Cricetulus griseus: one gene and its partners. The protein of the gene in region 1 purifies or fractionates together with the protein of each later gene. This does not show direct contact. Links are inferred from orthologs where the notes say so. Each region holds a gene or a part of one and is shown on either strand. Other genes may lie near its edges.

Region 1 (4,241 bases):
CTCACTGTGTTGCCTTGGCGTACATGCCATATACCTCACACTAGTCTTAAACCAACAGCATTCCTCCTGCCTGACTGACAAGTGCTGGGATTACAGATATGTGCCACCAGACCCAATTAATTTAACTTAAAAAAAAAAAAATTAAACCTAGCAGACGTGGGTATAACTGAATTTGAGGCCTGCCTGGTCTACAAAGTCCCAGGCAGCCAAGGCCATGGTTGCGCTATATAGTGAGACTGTCTCAGAACACACACACACACACACACACACACACACACACACACACACACACACACACACACACACACACACACACACACACACACGTTAAAAACCAGGGGCTGTAGAGACTTAACTCTGGTTAAGACCACTTATTGCTCTTGCAGAGAACTCAGGTTGGGTTCCCAACACCCACATGATGGTTTATAACCATCCATAACTCTAGCTGCAGGGGATTTGACACCCTTTTCTGACTTACATGGGCACCAGGCATGCACATGCCAACATATACATATATACATGCAGGCAAAACATTCATATACATTAATTAACTCGATCTAAGAACCACAAATTTACTAGATTTTTTTTTTTGGGGGGGGGAGTTGTTTGTTGTTTGGTTTGGTTTTTGGAGACAGGGTTTCTCTGTAGCTTTGGAGCCTGTCCTGGAACTCAATTTGTAGACAAGGCTGGCCTTGAACTCACAGAGATCGGCTTGTCTCTGCCTCCCAAGTGCTGGGATTAAAGACATACACCACCAACGCCAGGCTAAATTTACTAGGTTTCAAAGGAAGACACATTAGTAAATATTTAAAAACAGTTTTCTTCTGTGCCTTTACAATATAATCTCACTGAATCTTGGTATTTTAATATCAAAATATTCTAAATTGACTTATTTGAATTATTAATATAAATTCAAACACTGGATACTAAAGTTCAATTCCCCTTATTGATTCAGCATTTATTCTGCATACATGTTAACACCTAAATATATAACCACAAGAACATATGTAAATTGTGAAAGTGACTATAAAAGTAAGAGCCTGAAGCAAATTTCCAGAGATGAATGATAGTAAACAGAAACTAAAAACACAGTCCCATCCAAGGAGAAAATCAAGTAGGCACACAACTAAGAAGTCTTCAAGGGAACGAATTCTTTAAGAGGGGAAACTGCCAGAATTAGCCAACAGAGTCAGAACAGACTGCCAACAGAGATCATGTTTAAGGCAGGTCACTAACTAGACTAAGAAAGTCAACACCCAAAAGTCAATGTTTCCATTCCCCAAATTTGAGTTTCAGAATGATCGTTCCAAACAGATTAATGACCAAGACTAGACCAGTTAAAGGCTCTATCTTAAAAGTTTTCCCTGTTATCTGCTGATCAAAACATAATGACCCACAGGAAATAAATGTGCAGTGAGGTTTGTGAGGCTATTCCTGTACACTGAAACTCTTTTACCTGAAGAGATGTGTGGGGGGGGGCACGGAGACAGAGACTATATATATTATATATAATATATATAATCACTTTTTCTGGGCATGTGGCTTAGTTGGTAGAGTACCTGCCTAGCCGTCATGAAGTCCTGGGTTTGATCCCTAGCAATAAATAAACTTAGTATAGTGGCCCAGCCTATAATCCCAGCACTTGGGAAATGGAGGCAGAATGAGCCAAAATTCAATTTATTCTTGACTACTCACTGAGTTCAAGGACAGCCTGGTCTACATGAAACCCTGTCTCAAAGTAAGTAAAATCTCCATCCTGGTCCCTAGGGAAGATACTTTTTTTCTTTTCTATCCAAAAATGCTAGGGGGAAAAGAAAAAGAAAAAATCATAAGACTCCTTCATCGTAACACAGTAAGAGTCTACTGTCCAAACACATGCCCTACCTTAGTGTAAAAACTTTAGCTTAAGTCAAGTAAATCTAGGCCGAAGAGACAAGATGGAAGGGAGCTATCACAGGGCAGGCTGTAAAGCTGAGGTGGGCAGTTACCAGCTCTGGGGAGGACAAACTTCTGGGCAGTTAAGATGGATGGAATGGCAGGTGTATGGCACCTCACTCTCCTGGATGTCGGATTGCTCTTGGGTTTAAAGAAACGGAGAACTCCGGCTCTCCTGAGTGAATATGTTCAAGAGTTCCCTATGAAACTCTAGGACTTGACTATGAAGGAAAACGGGGGTGGGGGGGGACGAAATAGCGAGACGGGGGAGCGATTCAGAGAGATCGAAAACAGCTTTTGGATGAAATCGTCCTAGGACAAAGTTATGTCCCCCGGGGGATCCCAGACGGCGAAGGACAGGGCCACCCCACCTGCTGAAGGCTGGCGCTGTTACCCACTGGGTCGGCGATCCGAGACTGCCCCGCACGGGTGGGAAAGTCTGCAAGGGGATCTGAGCAGAAGTTAACCTGCCAGGAGGGAGAGGCGCGAGTGGGGCAAGTACCTGGGCAGGCTGCGACTTCTGGAAGCGAGGATGACTCGGGGAGCCGGGGGGATCTCGGCAGCGGTCACTCCCGCACGCCAAAGCCGAGCAAAGCTGAGGGAACCCCGCTCCGCCGAGGGCGAGCCTCGCACTGCGCGAGCCCTACGGGAGTTCACCTGGCGGCCGTCAGGCCCGCAGAGAAACTTCCCGAGAGCGTGAGCGCTGACGGGACCGGGAGGGGAGCGGAGCGGAGACCCGCGGAGGCGGCAGGGTGGGAGCCGCGCGGGGCGGAGCCGTGCGCCCGGCGACCCGGGCGGGGCGCGGCGGCCGCGCCTCGGGGCGGGGGCGCGCCCGCGCTCCTCACGCGCTCCGCCGAGCGCGCCCCGGGGCGCCGCCGCGCCAGCGCGAGAGCGGTGGGGAGGGCTGGGGAAACCCGGCGGGTCGACCCGGGCGGACCGGCGGGCGGCGTTACCTGTGTCAGGGAGAGCTGGGCTGCCGCAGCCATGGTGTTTCCATCATGCCACGGGAAGAAGGAAGGACGGGCGGACGGGGGCCCGGGGCGGGAAGGAGGCGGAGGGACAGGCCGTAGGCGAGGCCGGCGGCCGGGCGTCTCCCCGAACTTCGACAACTTCCCTCCTCACGCCGCCCCGCCCCGCCCCGCCCCGCCGCCGCCCCGCCCCACAGGCCGCGGCGGCGCGCAAAGCCCGGCGCGGGTGTCTGGGGCGCGGAACCAGGCCCTGACCCCGGCCGCCCTGGAAAACCCGGTGCGGATGGCGCACCGGGCGGACTGGCGGCGGAGGCGGCCCCCACAGAGACCTGAGAAGTTGAGACAAAACGCCTACCTTTCTGGGCTGCTGTTCCTGAAAAGTGCGGGAAAATATACCCAGGTCCAGGTGGGTTGTGGGAACTACGAGAGTAATGGTACTAAGTAATGATAGCAATGGTTTAGCAATAATAATATTAAACTATACTAATTTATGTGCGATTGGCTCTGCACTAAATGCTTTAATTTTTTGTTTGCTTGCTTTTGAGACATGGTGTCTCTATGTAGCCTCAAGCTGGCTTCGAACTCACAGAGATCCACCTGCCTCTGCCTCCAGAGTGCTGGGATTAAAGGTGTGCGCTACCACTCCAGTCCTAAAAGCCCTTTTGTTGTTTTTGTTGTTGTTGTTGTTTGTGTTTTTGTTTTTCAAGACAGGTTTTTCTCCGTGTAGTCCTGCTATCCTGTAACTTGCTTTGTAGGCCAGGCTGGCCTCAAACTCACAGAGGTATGCCTGCCTCTGCCTCACCACCACCCGGCTTTTTTCTTTTCTTTTCTTTTCTTTTCTTTCTTTCTTTCTTTCTTTTTTAATTGCGTGACTAGAGGATTTGAAACAGAAAAAAAAAAAAAAACTATACAAATGAGGAAGATGAAACCCAGCTGGGCATGGTGGCACATCTCTGTGAGCTTCCCAACAGTCCTGGTCTACATAGTGAGTTCCAGAACAGCCAAGGATACATAGGTGATACATACGACCCTGTCTGAAATTTAAAAAAAAAAAAAAAGGAACACCCCTCCAAAAAAAGAAATTATCTTACCTGAAGTCAAACATCTGACTAAAAAGCCAGATTACAGTTTAACTCCAAGGCCTTTCTACCTGCTGTCATGTTGAAAATGAAGGCAAGTAATAAATCCTTTCCTCCTAAAGCCAAAATCTGGGGAGCAGGACAAGACTACTTCCCTTGTCTGCTACCTTTCTCTCTTAGAGTGTTCACTTAAAAACAAATGTGTAGGACCACAGTGCAGTTCAGTGGTACCTGTGTGCACAAAGCCCTGGTCCCATCC
Region 2 (2,682 bases), on another chromosome or scaffold:
CTACTTTTCCTGGAGGGTTAGGAAGCAAGTTGCCCAGCTGAGGCACTGCAGGGCCAGCAGTGTATGCAGCATCCCTGGTTAAACCGAGTGCAGCCGCAGGGCGTGAAGCCCCACACAGACCACACCAGCAAAGGTCATGAGTCTGGCAAGGTAGTTAGGGTGCTGGAAGTCATACATCCTGTTCATTGGGTCACTGTCATCTGTCCCTGGTTATGCAAACAGTCTTGGAAGTGGCATGTGCCTAATTCAGAGTGAGTGTCTGCTTCCCATGGGCCTACAGGAGTGGGTTGGGGCACTATCAAGGCCAAGAGCAGAGGATATGATTTTGGAGGTCTCCGGGGTGGACCACGGTAGGCGAGAAGCTCTGGAACTGCACAGAAGTCTTGTTGCCATAGAAGAGATACATTCGGCCTGCAGCGGGTGGGTAAGGGTTCCATCCAAGCTCTTCTGATCCCATCCCCTACCGCCAGCTCAGCCAGGCAGAGGTGACTGCCGAGAACCCACCCTCCAGCACCCCACTCCAGGCTACCAGGACACACCCAGGTTCTGTCGGAACTCGGACTTGACTCCAATCTGCAGCAGCTGGTTCTCAAACAAGACCCCACTGTTCTTACACACGAACCTGGCAGAGTGGTGGGAGTCAGGATGGTAGGGCTCCTGACCACCCATCTTTATGTTCCCAACTGTCCCTACTCTCCAGCCCACCCCTCCCAGAACTCACTTATTCAGCAGTTCATCTGCTTCTGGGATGGGAGGGCCTATGTCTTCAGGACCTGGGCTGGAGGGGAGGAAGAATTGAGATGAACATGGGCTTGAGGAAACAGGTATAGGCAACACTCCCTTGGAAGGCAGATTCCCCAGAACCCACAGGCCAAGCTTCCCCAGAGACCCTCAGGAATGGGAGTGGGACCCTGGCAGAGGGATCTCCCTAGGACCCCAACTTTCACTGTTTCCTAACCCTGCCAGTCATCAGAAACCCCTGAAGCCCACCCTGGGAACATCCGTCAATCCCAATAGCCAGAGGCCACCCCTTACTCAGCAGCTGGAGCTGGGTCAGCCAACAAAGCCATGGGGCTCTCAGGGGCAGGGGGCTCCAGCTCGCTGGGCCATCCAATCCCAGAGCAGACAGAGAAGACAGGTGTGGCAGGCAGCCAATCCCAGAGGGCAGCAAGAGGGCCAGGGAAAGAGAGGCAAGAGGGTTCAGAAAGAAAAGTGGGCTGAGATACAGCTATGGGAAAGAACAGCACAAGGTAGGCAGGGCAGCAGAGTCTAGTGGCAGCCAGAGGCTAGGCACAGGAAGGAGATGAAAGGGGATGGGGCTGAGTAGGACAGGAACAGGAGGTACCTGAGGAAGGCCTCCTCAGGGGTGGGTCCCAGGCTGGGCTGTGCCGTGGGACCATCAGAGAAGACATCCACCAGGAGGTTCCCACCTACAGGGACTGGAGGTGCAGCAGGGGGAGGGGCTGCCCGCAGCCCCAAGAGGTCCGCGGAGGGTGAGGGTGTCGACTGCAATTAAGGTTAGACGGTATAGGTGAGACAGGGCAAGAGAGAGGGGACCCAGCCTGGCCATGTGGTCCATAACTGGGCTCACCACGGTACTGGGGGTGGGCTCCACACCCCCATTGATGTCACTGTTGCTGGTGTCCCTACGGCTGTCATCCAGGGCACTGGCTGCCCCAGGGCCCTTCTTGCGCTTCAGCTTGGCCAGAATGGATGACTCGCGCTCAGGAAATGGGGGCATTTCTTCTAGTACAGTAGCCTGTGGGCAGGAGGGGAGGTTAGGGGGCACTTATGGCCCAAGAGGGTGGTCCCAAGGTGTGGGGCATGGGCTCTGACCAGAACATCGGTGCTGGCTACAGAGCTGAGGGTGAGGTACTCCACTGCCCGCTGCTGTAGCTCCACATCGGCATTGCGCAGCTGGGAGCCGGCACGCAGAACTCCTTGGATAGTGGCCTTGGTCTCAGGGAAGAGGTTGATGAACTTGATATATGTGGACAACAGCAGGGCGCGAGTGGCCACGCTGCACAGGTGGAACTTGGAGTGCAGCAGTGAGAACTGCACAGGTGGGCTGTGGAGGAGGTGAGGTCAGCAGACACGCCCGTCACCCACACACCTTAAGGCAAGGCTATGACATCACCCAAGCGGGCAACTGAAACGTGTTGAGAAGGTTCCTAGGAACCCCATCATTTCTCAGCTCTCAGCCTCATGGGGGTTCCCCAACCCCTAGTAGGTCCCCCAGAATGAGGCTCCCTCACCTGGAGCGTGGGTCCCCAGCAATCAAATTCCCAAACTCCCCAAGGATGTAGCCACCGACCTTCACCATGTTTTCATGACAGGCTGGGGCCTGGAGGGCCTGTGAGGGAGCAAGGGACAGCAGTGTGAGGACAAGGATAGAAAAGTCCCCCTGACCTCTGCAATGTACATGGGGTCATAAACTGAGGCATGGGAGTTGTTAAGTGACTAGCCTAAACTCAATGTTACAGTGTGATTCTGAGATCTCCCACACATACTATGATTTTAGTGCTTGATCCCCAGCTGCTGACGCTGTTTGGGAAGGTACTAAAAACTGTGGAACCTACCTGGGAGAAGGGAGGGCACTAGGGAGTGTGTTATCTTTGATTACTTCCTGGATAGCCATGACTAGCTTCCACCCCATGTTCTGTGTGCATGCCCGTGTGCAAC
Region 3 (4,126 bases), on another chromosome or scaffold:
TGAACACCTTCAATCCCAGAACTCAGGAGGTAGAGGCAGGAGGATTTTTCAAAGTCAGCCTGGTTTATATAGACAGTTGCAGACCAGATAGGGTTGCACAGTAAGACTCTGTCTCAAAACAAAAGAATGGAGTTTCCTAAGTGCACTTCAGGGATTTCAAAGCAAATAAACAAAGAATAACAAAACTATATAATAAGGGGCCGGGTCAGTTCTCAGGTGACACTGTCTAGCTCAAATTCTGGTTTAGTTATATACTAAATTTGTGACCTTACAAGTTACTGGATTTCTAGTTCTTTCGTCCAAAAACTGGAAATATTTTAATAAATGCACATTGCAATATTTCACTCACTATATTGTTACCGACAGTAACTTCTGTAAGGCACAGAAAGTCCTCAGCAAAGCATCTGGCATACAATAAGCAGTCAATAAGTGTCAGCTATTAATATTATATATGCCTCTCTAAAACTCAAGTAATCCCTATGTAGCTTTAAAACAAAAAGAGCTTAATGGGGGGGGGGCAAAGATTAAGTATCCATCATAAAGTAAAAAACAGCAAGTGAACTGACTGCCCTAAAGAGAAAATAGGGTACATGACAGAACAAATTGCCACAATGCCAATGAACTTTCCTACCCCACCCACAAACTGGCAATCTCCTCTCTTAGACCAACCATCTATTTTGAAAAGGTGGAGCTGCTGAGATATAAAACCACAATGCCCAGGTATGGAGAAATATCAAACTAACAAACCTGCCTGCTACTATTCCCAAGTTTTATAACAAAACACATAGAGAGAAAGCTGAGGACTGAAATTTTCTACCCTACTATTGGAAATAAAACCTGGGCTTCCCTAATGCTAGGCAAATAAACTACCACTGAATTATATTCCCAGTCCCACCCCCATCCTAACTTTTTATTTTGAGGCAGAGTCTTACTAAGTTCTCCAGGATAGCCTGGAACTTGTAAAATCATCTTGCTTCGGTCTCCCAGGTGCTGGGATTACAGGCATTAACTATGACATGTGGTTGGAAATTGAATTTCAATGACAACATACCATCCTAGTACTGCACTTAACATAAAATAGATACCTTGCAGATGGCACAAATACCTTTAGGGCAAATGTGCTACATTAATATTCTTATTTTATTTTACATATTAAACCAATGAGACCTAGAAAGATCTAAATGTGTAAACTAAAAGGACCTCAATACTAAATTCTTCCCTTAACTTGTGTGTGCTAACAAAAAGAACTATCTTTATCGCACCTCATTTCAGGCCAAAGTGAATAAATCTAAGTTAGGACTATCCTAAAAAGGGCAGGTCTGCTATGGTTAGCCAAGGAGTCTTCATTCATGAGACTGGCTCAGATCTAGGAGAAAAAGGCTTTCACTTCAAACATCCAGAAAGCAAGAAACTTGATGCATTACATACATACACAGACAAAGGCAATCACAGAATCACTCTGTATCTCAAAAACCTCAAGTGCTAAGTGGATGTATTTCCTTAACATTGCCAGACAACTCCAACAGTATGGGCAAGGCGGTTACAATTCATTGATCCTTGACAAGACCCCGTGGGATAACTAAAATGCTTGGTGTTATCTTTACAGACAGGTCTGTTCTTGTATCTTGGAAGACTTTGACTACAACACCAACTTACTGAGCAATAAAAGACCCAGAAGTACATGACTGACACTGTTTAAACCCAAGGAGAATGAAGCTCCATTCACTTCCAGGGTTGTTCTCACTGGCTTATACCTGGTTTATTTTCTGAAGGAAAAAAAAAAAAAAAACCTTTCCCCCACTAATCACTTTGAAACTAGAAACTCTAGTTGCAGCAGGCAGTCTTTTGGACACTTCAAACCTCTTGGACAGTTTGCCAGCTAGGCTTCAATTACTCTGGGCTGGTCACAGAAGGCTTTTTTCTATTACCAAGTCACTTAGTTCACCACCTTCGTATTCCACAAGGGAAGAACACGGTAAAAAGATTTTGGAAAAATGCCCAAGAAAGGAAAAAACCGACCGGCTTCCTGAGGGTGTCTCCATCCCTCCCAGCCAGCCAGTACGTGGTGACTTCCTACCGAAGGCCACCAGGGGAGTATGGCCAAAACCGGCTCTAACACTGCAGGAAACGTTTCAAGCCTAAAAGCCACTTGTAGGATTAGCAGATCCATTCTGGGCACCTCTGCCAAATTGTGTCCCCGCAACATCCCCACTAACTCTTTGTCCCCAAGTTGCCTGGCCCTGCCCTGCCCTTGGGCCTGACCCTGGCGCCCAGCCCCACCCCGGGGCCGCAGCAGTTCCCCTTCCCCGGCTCCCAAGGCACACCCAGAGGCCTCGGTGAGCAGCTCCTCCTCCCCCACAATCCCGCTCGTCGGTGGGAACCAGCCTGGGCTGAAGGCAGCTCCCCCGCCAGGGTCACTCCTGCCCTCTCTGCCCACGTCCCTCCTCCTGAAGCGGACCAGAGTTCCACGGCCCTCACCCCCGCCCGGGGCCTCCCGCCCGCCTGTCCCTCACCCGGCGGAGGCTGAGCGGGCGACGGAGGCACTGGAGGGCGCGGGCCGCTGCTGTTGATGATGTAGTGGGAGACACGCGAGTTTTCCGAAACGCTGAGCACATAGTCCCCGGGGCTGGTGCTCGAGTCCCGCACCAGGAACACCCCGTGCCGCTGGCCCTGCAATAGCGCCACCGCCTCCTGCCGGCTCAAGCGGCCCCAGTACCAGCTACTCCGCTCCTCCGAGTCGAAGTTGCCCGCCATGGCCGCCTCCGCGCCTTCACGCTGGGCCGCCGCCGCCACGCGCGCCCCTCCAGCCCTGGCGCCCGCCGCCCAGCGGACCGGCTCCGGTGTCAGCCTCCCAGCAGCGCCCGAAATGGCGGCGGCGGCCGCGGGCCTTCCCCACCGGAAATGACGCGCTCTCTACCCGAGGGAGGCTGCCGGGAAGGGGGACCGCCGCCCGCCATTGGGAGAAGGGAAACGGAGTCCTTGGGGCCCGCAGTGCGCACGCGGCTTCTTCATGGGCGTCGCCTCCAGGTCCAAACCCTGGCGACCGAGGATGGGGAGGCGGAGTCTAGGACTAAGGGGCGGAGCTTCAGTCTGCAAGCTGACTGATGTGTGTCTGACAGATTGGTGGCCTAGGTCTTTCGCCCAGGACCTACAGGAGTGGAGTAGTAAACGGTCCCAAGATGTTAGCCTCCCTCAAAGCTCCCTGACAAGCTGGTATTTTTCTGCTGTTTTCTTCAGTTTCCCCCGAGGTAAGCAGAAGTTCTTGTTACTCAGTAACAATCATAGACGTTACATTTCCCTGCAGGTGCAGTGGTGATCCAGACTGGGCCGTAAGTCACCAAATTCACAGACCAGTGGGAGGAACCAGGAAACAATTAATGACAAAGGAACAACAAATGCTATGATGGAAAACAGGAATATAAAGAGATCAACTAGGCAGTCTGTAGAGGGATCCAAGGGACTGGTAATGTGACTCATGACTGTAACACCAACACTTAGGAAACTGAGACAGGAGGATTACTGTGAGTCTGAGGCCCTACCTTACAAAACCTAAACAACAAACAAGGGTCCACAGATGAGGTGGCTTGAATGATTGGGTGTTGAATGGCAAGTGGGGAAGGATACTCAATGCAAAGAAAACAAAATGCTCAGACAGGAGAAAGGATTGAGGCTCCTATGTCAACCAGACAGTTTCCTCTATATTCTCAGTTGTAGTGATGGATGTCTCCTACTCTCACTTGCTTCATGATCATGATCATCTCTCTCAATTTTTTTTTACTTTGAAATGAAAAAAATTGTTTTTGTTTTTTTGAAACAGGGTTTCTCTGTGTATCCCTCTCTGTCCTCTAACTCACTCTGTAGACCAGGCTGGCCTCAAACACAGAGACCCACCTGCCTCTACCACCCGAGTGCTGGGATTAAAGGCGTGTGCCATCACCAATGCCCTGCTTGACATGAAATCTTATGATGTAGCCCAGGCCGACTCAAGATCCTTCCACGCCAGCCTCCCCAGTACAGGGATTATAAGAATGCACCAACATGCCTGGCTGGCCACTATTGCTAAGATTCCAGTGCACAGCCCGCCTGCTGCTGTTCCTTAGTTTGGCTTGCTGGATGACACTGTAAT

The links.
Region 2: the proteins of Eps15 (region 1) and Ap2a1 purify together in Homo sapiens (affinity purification with western blotting; 5 studies listed by BioGRID and IntAct, with this or other methods). This does not show direct contact. The link is inferred for Cricetulus griseus from reciprocal best matches to the Homo sapiens genes EPS15 and AP2A1.
Region 3: the proteins of Eps15 (region 1) and Crk purify together in Homo sapiens (affinity purification with mass spectrometry; 3 studies listed by BioGRID and IntAct, with this or other methods). This does not show direct contact. The link is inferred for Cricetulus griseus from reciprocal best matches to the Homo sapiens genes EPS15 and CRK.

Annotation. Positions count from the first base shown.
Region 1 is NC_048595.1:40,533,787-40,538,027, forward strand, and holds the start of Eps15 (epidermal growth factor receptor substrate 15), read right to left. Parts: upstream 2,922-4,241; coding exon 2,889-2,921; intron 1-2,888. Other genes in the region: uncharacterized protein LOC103159787, read left to right, coding at 2,920-3,309. UniProt on the Homo sapiens protein: Involved in cell growth regulation. May be involved in the regulation of mitogenic signals and control of cell proliferation. Involved in the internalization of ligand-inducible receptors of the receptor tyrosine kinase (RTK) type, in particular EGFR.
Region 2 is NC_048599.1:153,739,168-153,741,849, forward strand, and holds part of Ap2a1 (AP-2 complex subunit alpha-1), read right to left. Parts: intron 2,354-2,682; coding exon 2,256-2,353; intron 2,069-2,255; coding exon 1,837-2,068; intron 1,760-1,836; coding exon 1,592-1,759; intron 1,507-1,591; coding exon 1,346-1,506; intron 779-1,345; coding exon 722-778; intron 623-721; coding exon 540-622; intron 412-539; coding exon 322-411; intron 1-321.
Region 3 is NC_048600.1:89,144,282-89,148,407, reverse strand, and holds the start of Crk (adapter molecule crk), read right to left. Parts: upstream 2,901-4,126; 5' UTR 2,755-2,900; coding exon 2,514-2,754; intron 1-2,513. UniProt on the Homo sapiens protein: Involved in cell branching and adhesion mediated by BCAR1-CRK-RAPGEF1 signaling and activation of RAP1.